Linked DNA regions of Macaca fascicularis. The protein of the gene in region 3 binds, or shares a complex with, the protein of the main gene of each other region. Links are inferred from orthologs where the notes say so. Each region holds a gene or a part of one and is shown on either strand. Other genes may lie near its edges.

Region 1 (4,645 bases), on a different chromosome or scaffold from region 3:
GAAAGAAAAAAACTGTCCATTTTAACGTAGAATCTTTTCAGATGTTTCGCTATTAATAATACAATCTAATAAAGTCAACAGAACCAAAGAACTAATAAACTGCCTCAAGAACTTAAATGCACCACAGCCAAAAGAGTTTCTCAGCTACACACCTTAGCTAAACTGGACTGCACTTTCAAACTGTAGAAAAATGAAATGAAAAGTGAATCTCAGAACAAAAATCACCCAAGCAATAACTTAGCTCACCTTATTTAAAAATTCTCAAAGCACATGTGAACTGCATACTTTCACTGAGAAGAGGTATATTTATGAAGAGTATTAGTTATAAATAACCCAATCAGGTCCCAGGAAGGATATAGAAAGACCTCAACAGACACCCTAATGGATATTTCTAATATTATTCATTCCCCATTCTTAGCACCAAAGTCATCAGCACCACCTACCACATCAACTTCCACATCACTTTCTGAGTCTGACCCTGTCTGAGTCCCTTAGGGAGGCAACTAGTGGCCTGGATCATGCAGCCCAATGAATAAAGGCTACTAAGGTATTTAGATCATCATTGCTTTGTGTGAATTCTTTCCCCCCCCCCCCCCCCCAGTATAAACAAAACACCTCACTGGTGTCAGATTTAGAATTATACCCCACCCCGCCCCCGCAAAAAAAGAAAATAAAAAAACGGGGCCTGCACCATGGCACTAACATTTTATAAAGTGAGAGACTGTATGAGAAATAACATGACTTAATTAGATATATTAGCAAAGAAGTTTTAAAGTGCTTCAAAGTTACATGATCGTAGCAAGAGGAGTAAAGGAAAGGGGTCAGAGAGGGGTAAAAAAAGCATTACAGCATACAACTACCTGAAAAAGAAATAGTACACAGGTTAAAACACGTTTACAGTTACCAAGAGTTGCCAACACATAGTTACCACACTATATACTCGTCAGATTTCCCAACACGCAAAACAAAAAGGAGCCACCCTGTATGAAGTACTTATCTACTGACTTCTACAGAGAAGACATAACTTTTCTGGAAAGGGAGCAATTTAACCTACTGTGCTCTCCTTTTGGCTTTCAAAAATCTTTAAAACTTTCAGCAAATTAAGGTTCTCCTCAATTTCAAGGCTTTTCATGTTAAGTTGAATAAAAGTTGCCTATTTTTAATATCGATAAACTACAAGATCACTTTTGTATTTGCAAACTATACCCACTTTTCTACTCGATTTTTAAGTTTCGAAGGGCTAAATATAAAGTTTGCATAAACAAAGTGATACAGTAGATGTGACAGGTATTCAACAAGTTTACTTATCCGAAGAATTCCTAAAGTAAAAACTTTACAAAAAAATTGTGAAGATAAATTCCGAGTAGTGCTACTGAAGATACAATGTTACTAACATCAAAATTAAGAAATATTCAAAACATTCTGAAAACAGCATCTCCCTCTAAAAATAAAGAGGGAAAGCATTTGCCAACACACAAACATTGGTTCTTAAAAATTATAATCACATGGGAGGCATTTCTATAAATAATTTAGTTCTGAATTGCAATAACCCTAACCTTTCAAAGCACGTTCTAGCCTTGCCTTACCAAAAGCAAGAGCATTTCTGGTGGCTTTATATTTATACAAAGGACTGTGCTACTTTGTTTCTAGTGCAAACTGTTGGTTTACACAGTTAAAGGTCTTCAAAACAAACTACCACACACAATTCACTTCCAATCATCCAAAAAGAAATGAACAAACCAGCATCTGTCACAAAGTCCCAAGAGTTTTCTAATTTACAATAACTGATATTTTTATGTTGTAGTTCGGAGGCTACCTCTGTTCATTTCTGTACTTGGATTCATATACTATACATTTACTTAGCTTGTTAAGAGAGAAACCTCAGAAAATAAGCAACCAGCGATGACACCAGTATTAAGTTACTTATGAAGCCTACAGTTCAAGAACTTTTGGGAGAAGAGAGAGTATTTAAGCCGTTTTTCCAAGGAGTTAAAAACAATTCCTGTTTGATAATTAATGATAGCAGCCCTAACAACCTCTTAGAATACATTACGGTGGGGCGGAAGCGAAAACGATGGCGGGGGGGGGGGGGGAACCCGACTTGAAAATGGACAAGCAGGCAGATTTACAAACCTTCAATTAAAGGAATTTTAAGATTAACTTCTCTCAAACGCCCTCCCTCACTCCCCACACCCGCTTCCTCCTCTCCTCCGGGAGGTCGGTGTAATGTGACTCATGACAAATTTTTTTTAAATAAATAAATAAAAGACACACCCTCTGGGGGCTGAAACTGACATAATGGCCCCCACCCCACCCTCCGCCGACACACAACACACACCCCGCTGGTCCTATCCCTTCTGCGGCTTCAGCCTGGTCCCTGCCCTCTCCTCTCCCCTCTCCCGTCCTGGACCTCCTCTCCGGGCGCAGAGAGGCGGCGCGGCGGCAGCAGGGGGGTCTCCAGGACGCCAGCTCCGTGGACTGGAGGCTACCTGGGGGGCGCGCGACCCCGGTGGCCCGGCCCTGGGGAAAGCGGACGCGAGGGGGGCGCCGGGCTGCGGCGGGCTCCCGGCTCCCTCGCCCATTTTCTCTCCCCTTCCATCGATTTCCACCACCACAGCCACTTCCTGTATCGCAGCCCGACTCCCTCAGCCGGGCCACTCGCTCTGTCCCCGGTTGGGGCTGGGGTTGGGACTGCGGTAGGGGCTCGGGCTGGTGGCAACCGCTGAGGTGAGGGCAGTTCCCCACCCCGCCCAGTGGGCTGGTCACTCCGGCGGGTCCTCGACCCGGCCAGCGCCCGCCGGCCGCCAGCGCGCCTCACCTGTATGTAGTTGTTTTCACAGTAGTCCGCCACCCGAGTCAGGTTCTGGTAACTCTCGATCAGCGCCCTCTTGCCAGACGGGATCTCCTCCTCTAGTAACATCTGCAGCTCTGCCATTTTCCACCCCTCTGCATCGCTTCCTCTCGCGTTAAAGAGACAGAGGCAGCAAGGTCCGCCGAGGCTCCGAGCACCTCACAGCCCGGATACAAACCGACTACCCGCCCTCCCGCCTGGTATTGTGGGACGGCACCTCCTCCCGTTCTTCCTCACTCTCTCGGGTCTCCCTCCACCCACTTCGCGCAGCCGCCTGAACCTCGTTCTCTCGCGAGTCTTCATTTCTGCCACCTCCCCCACGCCGGGCCGCGGGATTTTTTTTTCTTTCGCACTGTCTTCTGGGAATTGTAGTCTCTCTTAGACAAGGCTGCCCGTCCAAAGCGCATGCGCGCAGACACCTCCGAAAACAACTAGGCAGAGCGCAGAAAGCGGAGACCGAAGGTGGAGGGAGGGGGCGGTGTTGGGGGGAAGTCCGGAGTTTCCTCACAGCTCCGGAAGGTGGCGCCACAGGGTGATTGTGGGGGAATGAAATCGGTTCCCCAAGTTTCATGTGAAACTTGGCAGAACTTGGTTAATTAGGAAATGCCAGTGAATCAGGGACATCCATTCACAGAAGGATTAAAAAGGGACAGAGTATAGAAAACTAGATTTTTACTTCCTCTGCCTTCTTAGAAATAATGCGAGTCAGGTTTTACTTTCTGAGCTTCCGCCCCCATCAATTAATTTAAAATTTAGCAAAGATTTCTTGATTCCAGCTGTTTACTAAGCAGTGTACTGGACACTGGGGGTACAAGTTGAGTATGAATACTCCATACCCTTAAAGACTCGATTATAAAATAAACATGCATAGCTTGTAGGGCTTTCCTGTCCTAATTTCTCTTTTCTGTGACTCTCCTTGGCATGTAATCTTCCTACACTTTTAAAGTCAAGTGCACGGTTTTTTAGGGGTGGGGGTTGTTTGAAACAGGATCTCACTCTTACCCAGCCTGGAGTACGGTAGCGCAATCACGGCTCTCTGCAGCCTAGACCTCCTAGACTCAAGCGATCCTCATGCCTCAGCCTCCGGAGTAACTGGGACTACAAGCGAGGGTCACTACACCGGGGCTGAGCTTTTTAAATTTTTGTAGCGACAGGGATCCAATTTTGTTGCCCTCGCTGGTCTCGAACCCCTGGCCTCAAGCAATCCTTCTGCCTCAGCCTCCCAAACTGCTAGGATTACAATCATGAGCCACCCATGCTGGCCCTTCGTTTTTTGCTTCTGGATTTTTGTTTTGTTTTTATCACCTGCTTTGGAATAGTCTCAAAAGGCCCTATATTTCAAGCTCTTCACTTCAACGGGAACATTAAATGCTTTGGATATAATCAGCTATGAAAAGTGTTGTCCAAAGGCCGAAGAGGAAACTAAAGATCATTGTAAAATCCATATGTCCATGTATCTCCATAAAGTCATTTAGAATCAAAATAACTATAGGATTAACAACATCACTCAACCAAATTAAAAATTGCCATCACCAGGTATTTATTGAATATTGCCTTTACTGGGGCCTTATTCAGGGCCCCAGGGAACTAGTTTCCCTCCTCAACCTCTGAAAGGAAAAATTCAGTTTCCTACTAAAAGTGTTAACTTCCCCTTGCCACCAGATTCTCCATCAAGGATTCTGTGGTCTATAAATCAATAATAAATGTATTACTTTCCATGATATCTGGAATAGGTATAATAGTTATCTTTTGATATTTATCGTTAACCCAAACATGACTTAATCCAAGTTATTA
Region 2 (4,745 bases), on a different chromosome or scaffold from region 3:
TCTCTGGAAAATTTCATTTATTTTTCAACCTTCATTTTAAATTTCCATTCATTTTGAAATTCCAGTTATTTATTTTCTCCCTCCTGTCCTCCTTCCTTTTTTTTTTTTTTTTTTGTCCTCTGAATGTTCATTTTTATAGCTTCCTATAATTGTTATATACATGCAAAATCTTAACTTATTCCTTTGAGTATGTAGACATGTGTTTTTGAGACAGAGCCTTACTCTGTTGCCCAGGCTGGAGTGCAGTGGCACCATCTTGGCTCACTGCAACCTCTGCCTCCTAGGTTCAAGTGATTATCCCACCTCAGCCTAGCTGGGATTACAGGCGCCAACCACTATACCCAGCTAATTTTTATGTTTTTAGTAGAGACGAGTTTTCACTGTGTTGGCCAGGCTGGTCTCAAACTCCTGACCTCAGGGAATCTGCCCGCCTTGGCCTCCCAAAGTGCTGGGATTACAGGCCTGAGCAGAAGCAAAGTTTTAAAAAGGAAGAGCAAAGGCGAATGGGGAACTTACCATATCATGAAGAAAAACATTGTTAAAAGTAATGGCTGGGCGCAGTGACTCTATAATAGTAGCACTTTGGGAGGCTGAGGCAGGTGGATCACCTGAGGTCAGGAGTTCGAGATCAGCCTGACCAACATGGCGAAAACCCATCTCTACTAAAAATACAAAAAAATTAGCTGGACGTGGTGGTGGGTGCCTGTAATCCCAGCTACTTGGGAGGCTGAGGCAGGAGAATTGCTTGAACCCGGAAAGTGGAGGTTGCAGTGAGCCAAGATTGCGCCATTGCACTTCAGCCTGGGTGACAGAGCAAGATGCTGTCTAAAAAAAGAAAAAAGAAATTTACAAAAATATGATATTCACGTAGGAAGGGATGGGCAGATTATTGGAATACACTGAGCCATCCAGGAGTAGTTTCAGATGTTTATTTGGGCTTTAATATAACTTTGTTATAATACATTTGGAATATTTAGATCAGTGTGAAAAAAATAATCTGTAATCTCAACAACTAAGTGTTCTCTGAAAGTGAACTTTTTTTTTTTTTTTTTAAACCATATCCCTCTTCGTACCTTTTCGTTTTTCCCTTTAAATACTTAATTTTCAGCTGGGTGCAGTAGCTCATGCCTGAAACCTCAATACTTTGGGAGGCTGAGGTGGGTGAATTGCGTAAGCCCGGGAATTCAAGACTAACTTAGGCAACATGGTGAAACCCTGTCTCTACTAAAAATATTAATACAAAAAACTAGCCAGGTGTGGTGGCATGCACCTGTAGTCCCAGCTACTCAGGAGGCTTGGGCGGGAGGATTGATTGAGCCCTGGAGGTCGAGACTGCAGTGAGCTGTGATTGTGCCACAGCACTGCAGCCTGGGTATCAGAGCGAGACCCTGTCTCAAAAACTAACTACTTAATTTTCTTAGAGCAGTTTTAGGTTCAGAGCAAAATTGAGCAGAAATTACAGTTCCTGTAACTTACTCCTTGCCCCTGTGCAGGAACAGCTTTCCCACTGTCAACATCCTGCAACAGAATGGCACATTTGTTAGAATTGATGAACCTAAATTGACATTATTGTCACCCAAAGTTCATACTTTACATTAGGGTTCACTCTTCATGTTGTACATTCTGTGGGTTTTGTCAAATGTATAATGACATATATCTATGATTATAATATCGTACAGAATAATTTACTGCCCTAAAAATCCTCTCTGTTCTGCTTGTTTATACCCTTCCCACCAACCACTGATCTTTTTGTCTTTTCCAGAATATCACAGAGTTACAATCATACAGTACGTAGCCTTTTCAGCTTAGCTTCTTTCACTTAGTAATATGCATTTAAGTTCCTTCTATGTCTTTTTATGGCTTGATAACTCATTTTATTTTAGCACTCAGTAATGTTTCATTTTCTGGATGTACTACAGTTTATTTAGGACTTCTTAATATAGGTCAAAAGCACAAAAATAGTGCTTCTTTTTTCTTTTCTTTTCTTTTTTTTTTTTTTTTGAGACAGAGTCTTGCTCTGTTGCCAGGCTGGAGTGTAGTGGCGTGGTCTCGGCTCACTGCAGCCTCCTCCTCCTGGGTTCCAGCGATTGTCCCGCCTCAGCCTCCAGATACCTGGGATTACAGGCACATGCCACCACGCCTGGCTAATTTTTGTATTTTTAGTAGAGATGGGTTTCACCATGTTGGCCAGGCTGGTCTTAAACTCCTGACCTCATGATCCGCCCACCTGGGCCTCTCAAAGTGCTGGGATTACAGGCATGAACCACCACGCCTGGCCTTTTTTTTTTTTTTTTTTTTTTTTTTTTTTTTTTTTTAAGTGCTCATTTTTATATGGTTCTGTAATCTGCTTTTCTCCACATTTGTATTACTTTTAAAGTAATTCTTACAAACATGTTTAGTGCTTACATTATAAATGCCATGGTTTATCTATTACCTTTTGGGTATATCTGTTGATAGATGTATTGTCTCTTAGAAGTCTAATTACTAGGTTAAATAATATAGATCTTTTTATTTTAATTTTACTGTTTTTCTATTTTCCCATTTAGCTTTGACTTGGAACTCAGTAGATCCTTTTAGGTTTGGAAGCTTGATAGTTTATTAACTTAAACTAAGTAAATAGAAGGTTGTATTCCACTCTGTAATCCTGGGGACATAAGAAACTGACTATACCTGGTTTTGTAAATTTTTTTAAGGCATATATTTCTTCAAAATATTTTCTTTTGAAAGGTGATTTTAAAACCTTAGTACATAAAAAGGCAGACGTGGTGGCTCACGCCTGTAATCCTAGCAATTTCGAAGGCTGAGGCAGGAGGATCACTTGAGGCCAAGAGTTTGAGACCAGGCTGAGCAATATAGTGAGACCTGTCTCTAAAAATTTTCTGGGCATGCCTGTAGTCCCAGCTATTCAGGAGCATCTCTTGAGCCTAGGAGTTTGAGACTGCAGTGAGCTATGATTGCATCCCTGCACTCCAGCCTAAGTTAACAGTGATACCCTCCTCTGAAGGCAAAAAAAAAAGAAAAAGAAAAAGAAAAAAAATCTGTTGGATAAGAAGTTGTTACAGAAAACAAAATGACCTTATTAAAGCTACAGTTTAAATTGAAATTATAACCTTTAACTTTTAAAAATGAACACATGTAATTTATTTATTTTTTTTTTTTGATACGGAGTTTTGCTCTGTTGCCCAGGCTGGAATGCAGTGACACTACCTTGGCTCACTGCAACCTCTGCCTCCCAGGTTCAAGCAATTCTCCTGAGTCAGCCTCCCGAGTAGCTGGGATTATGGGCACGTGCCACTATACCTGGCTAATTTTTGTATTTTTAGTAGAGACAGGGTTTCACCATGTTGGACCAGGCTGGTCTCGACCACCTGACCTCAGGCGATCCACCCATCTCAGCTTCCCAAAGTGCTGGGATTACAGGTGTGAGCCACTGCGCCCGGCCAAACACATAGAATTTTAACAGTAACTGCTCATTTGTTTGAACTGTGACATGTAAAGATAGATTTAAAAAAAAAAAAAACTAGAATTTAATTAGTATCATGAAATTTTAGTTATGTTTTCTAAGTTTTAAAATGTATAAACATTTAAATAGCAGTTAAATTCTTTAAAAGATTTGCGTTTCAAATACTTCCTATAAAGCTTTAAGGAATAATTGAAATGGAAAATACCGTGTTACTGCAGTCAACAGTTTTGTGCACTGGTCCTAATGCCATTTTAATGTTGATATATTTTGAATCATTTTTTACTTTTGTATAATGTTCAACGTATGTAAATTTTTCTTTGTTTTCTTTCTTTTTTTTTTGTTTTTGAGATGGAGTCTCGCTCTTTCACCATTCTGGAGTGCAATGGTGCGATCTCGGCTCACTGAAACCTCTGACTCCCTGGTTCAAGCGATTCTCCTGCCTCAGCCTCCTGAGTAGCTGGGATTACAGGCATGCACCACCAGGCCCAGCTAATTTTTGTATTTTTTAGTAGAGGCTGGGTTTCACCATGTTGTCCAGGATGGTCTCGATCTCCTGATCTCATGATCTGCCTGCGTCAGCCTCCCAAAGTGTTGGGATTACAGGCATGAGCCACCGTGCCTGGCCGTACGTAAATTTTTCTTTTTCTTTTTTCTTTCTTTTTTTTTTTGAGACGGAGTTTTGCTCTTGTTGCCCAGGCTGGAGTGCAGTGGCGCGATCTCAGCTCACTGCAACTTCCCTCTCCCGGGTTCAAGTGCTTCTCCTGCTTCAGCCTCCTGAGTAACTGGTGTTACAGGCATGCGCCACCACGCCTGGCTAATTTTGTATTTTGGGTAGAGATGTGATTTCACCAAGTTGGTCAGGTGGGTCTTGAACTCCTGACCTCGTGATCCACCTGCCTCTGCCTCCCAAAGTGCTGGAATTATATGCATGAGCCACCGCACCCAGCCTGTAAATTTTTCTAGTTATTTTAAATTATGAATCTTCTGGTAGCCTTTGGTTTAAATAGTACTGACATTTAAATTTTATCATTAGCCTTATCATCCTAGTTCACACATCTGTTATTTCTTGTGTCTGTGTTATCACCTCCCCAAACCCAAACTGAATTTGTGATGTTGGCTTAAGCTGCATAATATGTGCAAAGTAATATGATCAGTAGGTACATATTAGTGCTCCCTTAAGAATGTTCATTTAAAAAATTTATTTTAAAATGTTAAAAGGTGCCCACAAGTCTTTCTTTTTTCTTTTCTTTTTCTTTTTTTTTTGAGACAATGTTTCACTCTC
Region 3 (4,121 bases):
TTCTTTTTTTTTTTTTTTGGAGACAGGGTCTGACTCAGGTTGCCCAGGCTAGAGTGCAGTGACATGATTAGGGCTCACTGCAGCCTCAACCTCCCGGGCTCAAGCAATATTTCCACCTCAGCCTCCTGAGTAGCTGGGACTATAGTCACACACCACCACGCCCAGCTACCTTTTTGTATTTTTTGTAAAAGCAAGTCTCACTGTGTTGCCTAGGCTGGTCTCGAATTCCTGGACTCAAGGAATCTGCCCACCCAGCCTCCCAAAGTACTGGGATTACAGGCCTGAGACGCTGCACCTGGACAAGAATATTTTCATGCCTTGAAAATGTGCTGGAGAAAGCAATCCTTAATGGCTATGTAAACCATTTCGTAAATGTCCACAGTTCAACTATTTTTGCACATTTACTTCATTTCCTCTTTTATGTCATATAATAAAAAAAAAAAAATGCTGTAGGCCGGGTGCAGTGGCTCACACCTGTAATCCCAGCATTTTGGGAGGCCAAAGTGGGCATATCACCTAAGGTCAGGAGTTCGAGACCAGCCTGGCCAACATGGTGAAACCCTGTCTCTAATGGAAAAAACATACAAAAACTAACTGGGCATGGTGGTGCACGCCTGTAATCCCAGCTACTCGGGAGGCTGAGGCAAAAGAATTGCTTGAACCCAGGAGGTGGAGGTTGCAGTGAGCTGAGATCGCGTCACTGCACTCCAGTCTGGGTGACAGAGCGAGACTCGTCTCAAAAAAAAAAAGCTGTGATGAACATCTCTCTAATGTGATGAACATCTCTCTAAATATAGGCTAGATTTAAGAGCATCTATTTGATTTTTACCAAAGGAAATGATGTTAAAGAGTAGAAAGCAAAAGCAGTTTTATAGCAGTGATGACAGTCCTCTTCCCATGGACTCTCCACCTAGATTTTAAGTGCTGTGGGCACTTAAATCCTAACTATTCCTCCTGCACACCTGGGGCAGCCCTGCCTCTAGTCCTCTCTGGGACTGGGAGGCCCTGTGAGCCAGTGAGGAGGGAGGCCATGGGGATCCTGCGTGTGCTCACACTGGGCAGGGCGTCTGCCCTGAGCCCTTCCTCTGTGCTCCCGACTGCAGGTCTCATGGCCAGCGATTGTTTCGGGCTGGGCGGAGCCAAGGTGTAATGCCTGTGGCATGCCCCAGAGATGCCTGCATGTCACTGATACCCTCTCGCCTGCAGGAGCCCTGGCGTGTTTTGGGTGGTCATTGTGGCCCCCAGCGCCGCACCTCAGCGTTACCAGCTTCTCGGCAGCTGTCTCTTGGCACACAGGCCACAGTGCTTAGGATAGTTCATGGTGCTTTGTCTAGATTTTAGCAACTGGCATCTGCTTTTCATGCTAGTTCCCCCTCCTGCCTTTGATTTGCCCTGTGTTCCGTTGCAGAACGAGATGCTGGAGGAGGGCCAAGAATATGCTGTCATGCTGTACACCTGGAGGAGCTGCTCCCGGGCCATCCCGCAGGTGCCCTGCTCGCCTGTCTCTTCCCTCCCCACACCCTGCCGTGCCCCACCCCGCCCTGCCCCTGCAATGCCTGGCCACTCTCCTCCCGGGTCTCACCCCACAGCAGGGCGGGATCACCAGCTCTAGCTGCCCAGCAGCTGCTTCTGGCTGGATCCAAGCCTCTTATGTCATCCTTGTTTCTTTATTCCAGGTGAAATGTAACGAGCAGCCTAACAGAGTGGAAATTTATGAGAAAACCGTGGAGGTTCTGGAGCCTGAGGTCACAAAACTGATGAATTTTATGTACTTCCAGGTAAAATGGCAAAATCCCTATCTTGGGGGTGTAACACCGAGGGGTGGGTTGCTGACACCTTCCTACCCATCGCCGTCAATGTGAACACCCTGAACAGAGTGCCTGCAAATTAAAGCAACCAGTTTCTGAGACAAAAGGGACCAAGCCTTTGACAGTCTAAAGTTTCTCACGCCCTTTTGGAATCAACACTCCTTTTGTGGTTCTCAGAATTCTCAGTGATTTCATGTTTCCTTCACGGAGTCTGCTTTCTGTCAGTTTCAAGTACAATGCTTTGACTTTCTGCCAGTTTGTACTTTCTTTTTTGAGACGGAGTCTTGCTCTGTCGCCCAGGCTGGAGTACAATGGTGCAATCTTCGCTCACTGCAACCACCGCCTCCCAGGTTCAAGTGATTCTCCTGCCTCAGCCTCCCGAGTAGCTGGGATTACAGGCGCCCGCCACCATGCCTGGCTAGTTTTTGTATTCTTAGTGGAGACAGGGTTTCACCATGTTGGCCAGGCTGGTCTTGAACTCCTGACCTCAGGTGATCCACCCATCTTGGCCTTCCAAAGTGCTGAGATTACAGGCGTGAGCCACCGCACCTGGCCAGTTTGTACTTTTGATTCATCTGGTCTTTCAGGTATTTTCTTGCTGTCAGCCTCACCCTGACTGTCCATTCCTGGTGGTCCTCGCCCTGGCCTTGATTAGGCAAGAAGCAGCCACATGAAAGGGGCCTGCTGCTTTTTAAAGAAGTATTTTGGAAACATCCAGATTTTCTATGATGTCCATTAGCAGAGGGAGGAGATGGAACTAACTAGGAGATTAATTTTCATTTTACCTTGAAAGTTACCAAGAGGAAAAAAATCTCTCCCACTTTTCACTTCTGAAAGTTAGAACGTATGAATTTTGCAGACGTTTTCTTGGATCATTTTGCTCAGTAATTTTGCTGGAATAATCAGCAAGATGTTGTTACTTTAGTGACGTAGTTGGTAAAGTGCAAAACGAGTAACGACGTTGCAGAGCAGGCCGTCGGAGCTGCTTTCAGGAGGGGGTCTGGCTGCCCACATTGTAAACACCTGGGCCCGAAGCCGCGCGGGGCAGATTTTTCTCATCAAGGAGCAGTGACTGCAGGTGCTTGAAGCAGGGACATGGGCTTGGCCCCTCACTGACCTGCAGCTTTCTGCCCCCCGCTTCCTCTGCACAGAGAAACGCCATTGAGCGTTTCTGCGGGGAGGTGAGGCGCCTGTGCCACGCCGAGAGGAGGAAGGACTTTGTGTCTGAAGCCTACCTGATCACACTGGGCAAGTTCATCAACATGTTCGCTGTGCTGGACGAGCTGAAGAACATGAAGTGCAGTGTGAAGAACGACCACTCAGCATACAAGAGGTGAGCACCGGCCCCGTGTGCCGTGGGCCTTCCCGAGAGCGCGCAGCTCAGTGGCCCGCCTCGTGCGTAGCAGGTGTGTGTCTTTGTGTGTTGAAGTCGTCACTTCTGGTAGGCAGCGGCTACTTCTCGGTGTCAGGGCTGTGGGAGCACCTGCTCTGGGGGATAAAGTGAGGGGAGCCAGCAGGTAAGTGCATATCATGGCTTTGCAAAGCTAGAGCAGACTCTTAGTGCCCTGGCTGTCCTTCGATGTCACGGAGGACCTTCGCGCCCCTGGGAAGACAGACGTGCACAAGCTGTAGGCCTAGCTCACAGAGCACAGGCATCTGGCTCAGGGAGCATCTTGGCAAGGGGGCAGGTGGCCTCTGCAGCCCACCTTGGGCATTGGGGCTGCAGTCCTCGGTGCCAGTCTCTCGCCGGTGGGGGTCCCCGGCACCTGAGCACCATCCAGCAACGTGCAGACGTAGCCCATGCACAGTCACAGGGTGTCTTGGGGTCACACTGCGTTTCCAGGTCCTCTCCCCGGCGGTTTTCTTTTTGGATGTAGAGAGCTTCTGGAGAAGCTAGCCTCTGGAGAGACCGGCAGGAGGGATGGAAGAGGCGGGCATGGCCCGGCGTGTGCTTCCGGAGGATTGTGGGGTGGTGGGCGGCAGACAGGCGTTCGGGGACACACGGCGCTGTCTCCTGATGCTCTGCTTCGTTTGTGCCCGGTGCTTTTGAAGACATGTTTTGCTGGAATGAGATGCTAATTTCAGTTTCCTCTAGTAAGTAAGGCATCTTAGCTCTAAAATTAAATTCGAAGAGACCTTACTTTGCATCTGAATACGCTCTAGTTATGTTGCATTTTAAATCATACAACTGTTGTTATGTCTTTATAAAAAGAAAAATCCCCACTTGGGACAAAATGAGGCAGCAGTAGGAGTCAAGCTAGGTCAGGCAGAATTTAAGCCTCATTCACGTGAACTAAGGCAGTGTTCCGTTAT
Region 4 (4,873 bases), on a different chromosome or scaffold from region 3:
TACAGGAGTGGAAACCAAAAGATACAGGTTTGAGTTCCGGGGCTGTTTCAAATTCCCTGGAGGACCCTGGGTAAGTCATGCAACTTCAGGAAGACTCAGTTTTCTCTTCTGCAAAAACGAGGGTAATAATCTGCCTTACAGAGTTGCCCTAGAGAACCAAGTGAGGTATCTTTGCTAACGTGTGAATTTGTCACATTTCTATCTAGCTGCGGCCTTTTTTTTTTTAGACTCGTTCTGTCTCCCAGGCTGGAGTGCAGTGGCATGACCTCGGCTTACTGCAACATCCAACACCCAGGTTCAAGCGATTCTCCTGCCTCCCAAGTAGCTGGGATCATAGATGCGCACCACCACGCCCAGCTAATTTTTGCGTTAATAGAGGCAGGGTTTCTTTTTTTTCTTTTTTTGAGACAGAGTTTTGCCCTTGTTGCCCAGGCTGGAGTGCAATGGCGTGATCTCGGCTCACCGAAACCTTCATCTCCCGGGTTCAAGAGATTCTCCTGCCTCAGCCTTCCGAGTAGCTGGGATTACAGGCATGGGACACCATGCCCGGCTAATTTTTTGTATTTTTAGTAGAGACTGGATTTCACCATGTTGGCCAGGCTGGTTTCAACCACCCGACCTCAGGTGATCCTCCTAGAGGCGGGATTTCACTTAGCCAGGCTGGTCTTGAACTCATGACCTCAAGTAATCCACCAGCCTCGGCCTCCCAAAGTGTTGGGATTACAGGCATGAGCCACCGCGCCGGGCCTTTTTTTTTTTTTGAGACGGGGTTTCGCTCTAGTTTCCTAGGCTGGAGTGCAATGGCGTGATCTCCGCTCACTGCAACCTCCGCCTCTCGGCGGAGAATTCAAGCGATTCTCCGGCCTCAACCTCCTGAGTAGCTGGGATTACAGGCATGCGCCACCACGGCTGGCTAATTTTGTATTTTTAGTAGAGACGGGGGTTTCTCCAAGTTGGTCAGGCTGGTCTTGATTTCCCGACCTCAGGTGATCCGCCCGCCTCGACCTCCCAAAGCGCTGGGATTACAGGCCAGAGCCACCGCGCCCGGCCAGCTGCAGCCTTTTATAATCAACAAGACGAGCATATTCCCCACTCATGCATGAATCCTCAACAAACACTCCCGCATGTGAGGCACAGACGACTGCTCCTATTTCGCAGAAGGACAAACTGAGACCCAGATAAATTCTGGAAGATGTCTGAGGTCGCAGAGTGAAGTGGCTCAACCAGGGATCCGCTCACTTTGACCATGGCTTTTCAGTACTATCCCCCATTCCCAGCACCCAGGCCTCGCCCCACATGGACAGTGCAGGGCGGGCTAGAGCTTGTGACTCACTCTCCCCACCCTACTTTCTGCCCCGGCTGAGACCGGAGTGAAGGGACAACACCATCTGCAACTTGAGGGGTGTCCACAGAAAGTTTACGGGCTTGGCCCCTTCCTTTCGCCAAATATAGCGGTTCTTTGAAGGCTAACAAGAAGAATTAATCTTTCAACACACTCTGTACGAGGTTTTACACTCTCTTCGGTGAGTTTTCCCTACTTTGAACTTAGGAGTCCGTTTGCCTTAATCTCTGCCCCCCATTTCACTTGGTTTGCACCCCGCTGTTTACTCGGATTGCGGAAGTCGCCCGGGTGGAGCTCCGGGGAGGGTACCCGTGAGTACGTCTTTTGCGTAGTTATTTAACTGGCATTTTACTCAGGCCAATGGAATGCCCCGAAGCCCCGGGTGGGTTGGGCAGTGAACCAATCAGGGCCATTGGCGGGGTGTGGCTGCGTCCCAGGGCGGGGAATACCGTAATGGCGGACACGGGCCGGGCGAGCGCGGCTGGGGGCGTAGCGCGCTGAGGGGGGTCCGGCCGTGTGGCAGCCCGCGAGGCGGTCCGCGGGAGCACACTCTGTGCGGAGACTGTGCGGCCGGCCGGCCTTTCCTGTCGCTGACGGCGACTGCGGGAGGCCAGGTGAGCAACAAGTCCCCTTGGGTAGACCCCGCCGGGAGGCGCGGTCCCCGGGCGGGCCGCTCCTCCCGAGCCGCAGGGTTCCGGGGGAGTGGGTGCCGCGACTCTCACTGCCGAGTGGCAGAGGCTGGGCGAGTGGTCAGCGCGGGGTGGTGTCTTAGTCCACCCCACCCCCTCAGGGAGGGAGGGAGTGACCCGGAGTCCCCTTCCGAAACTTGGAGGGGTCCGCAAGTCTGAGGGACTACGAGTGTCCCGATCTGACCTGGTTCTGCCATCAGCTCCCTGTGTGATCTTGAGCAAGTCACTTTCCTCTCTAGGCCTTAGTTTTCCCATGTGTAAAACGAGGGTTTCGTCGGCAGATGTATGTACAGGAGTTGGGTCCCAGCTGTTGTCTGAGATCTTGGACAAGTTCTTCCCCAGGCTGAGCCTCAGTTTCCATCTCTGGACCACGAAGTAACTGAGGTGCTCGTTGAGGCCCCGACCTGCTAAATATTGAGGAGCGGGAGGAGGGCACTGTGTGTGTGTGTGTAAGAGTGCGTGTGGGTGTGTGCGCGTACAGGATGGTCTGCAGAGTAAGGAGGAGAGTTGTCTAAAGGGGCTATTCCAAGGAGGACGTGGGTGCTACCCAGACCACGATGGGGTGAGTTGGGGTCCTCTTGGTTCTCCAGGAACGCTAGAGCCTCTGAGAGGGGAAGTTTTAATACGGTTGTCCATAGAACCAGAGAAGAGGAAGGACTCCTTGGAGCCCCTTGGGGCTCTGATTGGAATTTAGGCCCAGAAATCAGGAGGGTAGAAGGAGGAGGAAGAACTTTTATGGCAGCCCTACTAGGTGCCAACCCTCGCTTAGGCCTATGAACTTTTACAGTGACCCTTGAGAATTTACACATAAGGAAACTAAGTTTCAGAGGAGTTAAGTAACTTGCCCAAGGTCACACAGTAAAGGGCAGAGGTTACTTAACTAAATTGTTTCCTCTCAGAATCTCTAGGCAAGGGGGAAGTCACTGCCCACTTAAAAGATAGTGTTAGGGAAGTTTGCCTTGTTGCAGATGGGGGCAGAGGTCTGGCCCCAGGTATGTGATTTGACTTCTGGCATGGGGACAGTCTTGATCTCTGGAAGGTTAATTATAAGTCCAGCCCCTTTATCCAGTCTGTAAGTTGGAAAGAACTATTTGTAAGTCGTAAAAGTCACTTTGAAGTGTGTCAGATCCTCAGAGAGCTCCATTTGAATCCTGTTGGGGTTGCCTGTAGAAGAAAGTTCAGCAGCTGTTGGTGTGTAGACTATACTTTGGTTCAGGGTGGTGCCAGCCCATTCACTTTTCTCCTCCATCAGAGGGCCACATTTTCTTGGGATGGGAGAAATTTCCCATTTTTTAGTTCAAATTTCTTTGGATTTCTTGGGGTGAAAGGTTCAATATCCCGCCTCTGATTAAGCTTAATACCCCTTTCTTTGTGCAACCTGTTATTTGACTTCTAATGAGTGAAGATTGTGGATCTGAGGTAGGTGGTAGTTGGGTACAATAACTTGCTGCCCTTAATTTTTCCAAACCTCAGAGCTTTTGATTAATCAGAATGGTAGGAATGGCTATGGGTATTGTTCTCATATGTGAATGGTGGAGAAGAAAACTGGAAGAGGAAGTTGCTGAGAAAAAGGGCGTTTCTTAGCAGTGGAGCCAGTATGTATTTCTTTGTTTGAAATTCTAAAACCAGAAAAGCAGCAACTAAAGGAGGAAGGAAGGAAAGAACTGTGAAACTCTTTTTCCCGTTCAAATATCTTTAAGAACTGTTCCTGTCTCTAGCCATGTCCCAGGCTCTACTTTCATAGAAAAAGTCAATTGTAATTTGTTCAGAGTTTTCTTCTAGAATGAAATAATTTTAAATCTTAAAACCTCTGAGAATAATTGTTTAAAAATCAGAGCATTTTATTGAGTAAGTTATTTACAGTGGATTATTCTTTTTCTCAGCATATTACTAATTCGGTCTTATATATAAAATATATAATATATAATAAAAATATATAATATAAAATAAATATATATAAATATAAATATGTAACATATACAATATATATTATAAATCATATATGAATTTATATATAATACATAAATATGTCATATATCATAAAATATATAATATAAAAAATTTATATATAATATATATAAATTATACTATATAAAACTTATAGTATATAATATATAATACATATAATATATAAAAATATATGTATTATATATAACAAATATATATATATATCTGTCACCCAGGCTGGAACGCAGTGGCGTGAGCTCGGCTCACTGCAACCTTTGCCTCCCGGGTTTGAGCAATTCTCCTGCCTCAGCCTCCCAAGTATCTGGGACTACAGGCATGCAACCCCACGCCTGGCTAATTTTTGTATTTTTTAGTAGAGATGGGGTTTTGCCATGTTGGCCAGGCTGGTCTCAAACTCCTGACCTCAGTTGATCCACCTGCTGCGGCCTCCCGAAGTGCTGGGATTACAGGCGTGAGCTGCTGCGCCCGACTGAGTCTTTGGCTGTATTTTAACTGTGATTTCAACCTAAGGAATTGATTTAGATATTACAGGATGCAAATATCACCATCACTTGAAAAACACATAATAATGTGTTTGGCTTTTGACACATTAAGTCTTTTTTTTTCTTTTTTTTTCTTTTGAGACAGAATCTTGCTCTGTTGCCCAGGCTGGAGTGCAGAGTGATCTCAGCTCACTGCAAGCTCCGCCTCCTGGGTTCATGCTATTCTTCTGCCTCAGCCTCCTGAGTAGCTGGGACTACAGGCGCCCGCCACCACGCCCAGCTAATTTTTTGTATTTTTAGTAGAGATGGGGTTTCACAGTGTTAGCCTGGATGGTCTCCATCTCCTGACCTCGTGATCTGCCCGCTTCGGCCTCCCAAAGTGCTGGGATTAC

What was found. The genes of interacting proteins can lie anywhere in the genome.
Region 1: CYFIP1 (region 3) and ABI1 share a complex: the UniProt entries of both Homo sapiens proteins name them as parts of the WAVE2 complex. The link is inferred for Macaca fascicularis from reciprocal best matches to the Homo sapiens genes CYFIP1 and ABI1.
Region 2: CYFIP1 (region 3) and EIF4E share a complex: the UniProt entries of both Homo sapiens proteins name them as parts of the CYFIP1-EIF4E-FMR1 complex. The link is inferred for Macaca fascicularis from reciprocal best matches to the Homo sapiens genes CYFIP1 and EIF4E.
Region 4: CYFIP1 (region 3) and WASF2 share a complex: the UniProt entries of both Homo sapiens proteins name them as parts of the WAVE2 complex. The link is inferred for Macaca fascicularis from reciprocal best matches to the Homo sapiens genes CYFIP1 and WASF2.

Annotation. Positions count from the first base shown.
Region 1 is NC_088383.1:27,593,467-27,598,111, forward strand, and holds the start of ABI1 (abl interactor 1), read right to left. Parts: upstream 3,102-4,645; 5' UTR 2,936-3,101; coding exon 2,819-2,935; intron 1-2,818. UniProt on the Homo sapiens protein: May act in negative regulation of cell growth and transformation by interacting with nonreceptor tyrosine kinases ABL1 and/or ABL2. May play a role in regulation of EGF-induced Erk pathway activation. Involved in cytoskeletal reorganization and EGFR signaling.
Region 2 is NC_088379.1:104,497,009-104,501,753, reverse strand, and holds the start of EIF4E (eukaryotic translation initiation factor 4E), read left to right. Parts: upstream 1-1,644; 5' UTR 1,645-1,659; coding exon 1,660-1,787; intron 1,788-4,745. UniProt on the Homo sapiens protein: Acts in the cytoplasm to initiate and regulate protein synthesis and is required in the nucleus for export of a subset of mRNAs from the nucleus to the cytoplasm which promotes processes such as RNA capping, processing and splicing.
Region 3 is NC_088381.1:554,039-558,159, forward strand, and holds part of CYFIP1 (cytoplasmic FMR1-interacting protein 1), read left to right. Parts: intron 1-1,408; coding exon 1,409-1,486; intron 1,487-1,676; coding exon 1,677-1,778; intron 1,779-2,959; coding exon 2,960-3,141; intron 3,142-4,121. UniProt on the Homo sapiens protein: Component of the CYFIP1-EIF4E-FMR1 complex which binds to the mRNA cap and mediates translational repression. In the CYFIP1-EIF4E-FMR1 complex this subunit is an adapter between EIF4E and FMR1.
Region 4 is NC_088375.1:207,583,497-207,588,369, forward strand, and holds the start of WASF2 (actin-binding protein WASF2), read left to right. Parts: upstream 1-1,772; 5' UTR 1,773-1,956; intron 1,957-2,470; exon of another isoform or gene 2,471-2,593; intron 2,594-4,873. UniProt on the Homo sapiens protein: Downstream effector molecule involved in the transmission of signals from tyrosine kinase receptors and small GTPases to the actin cytoskeleton. Promotes formation of actin filaments. Part of the WAVE complex that regulates lamellipodia formation.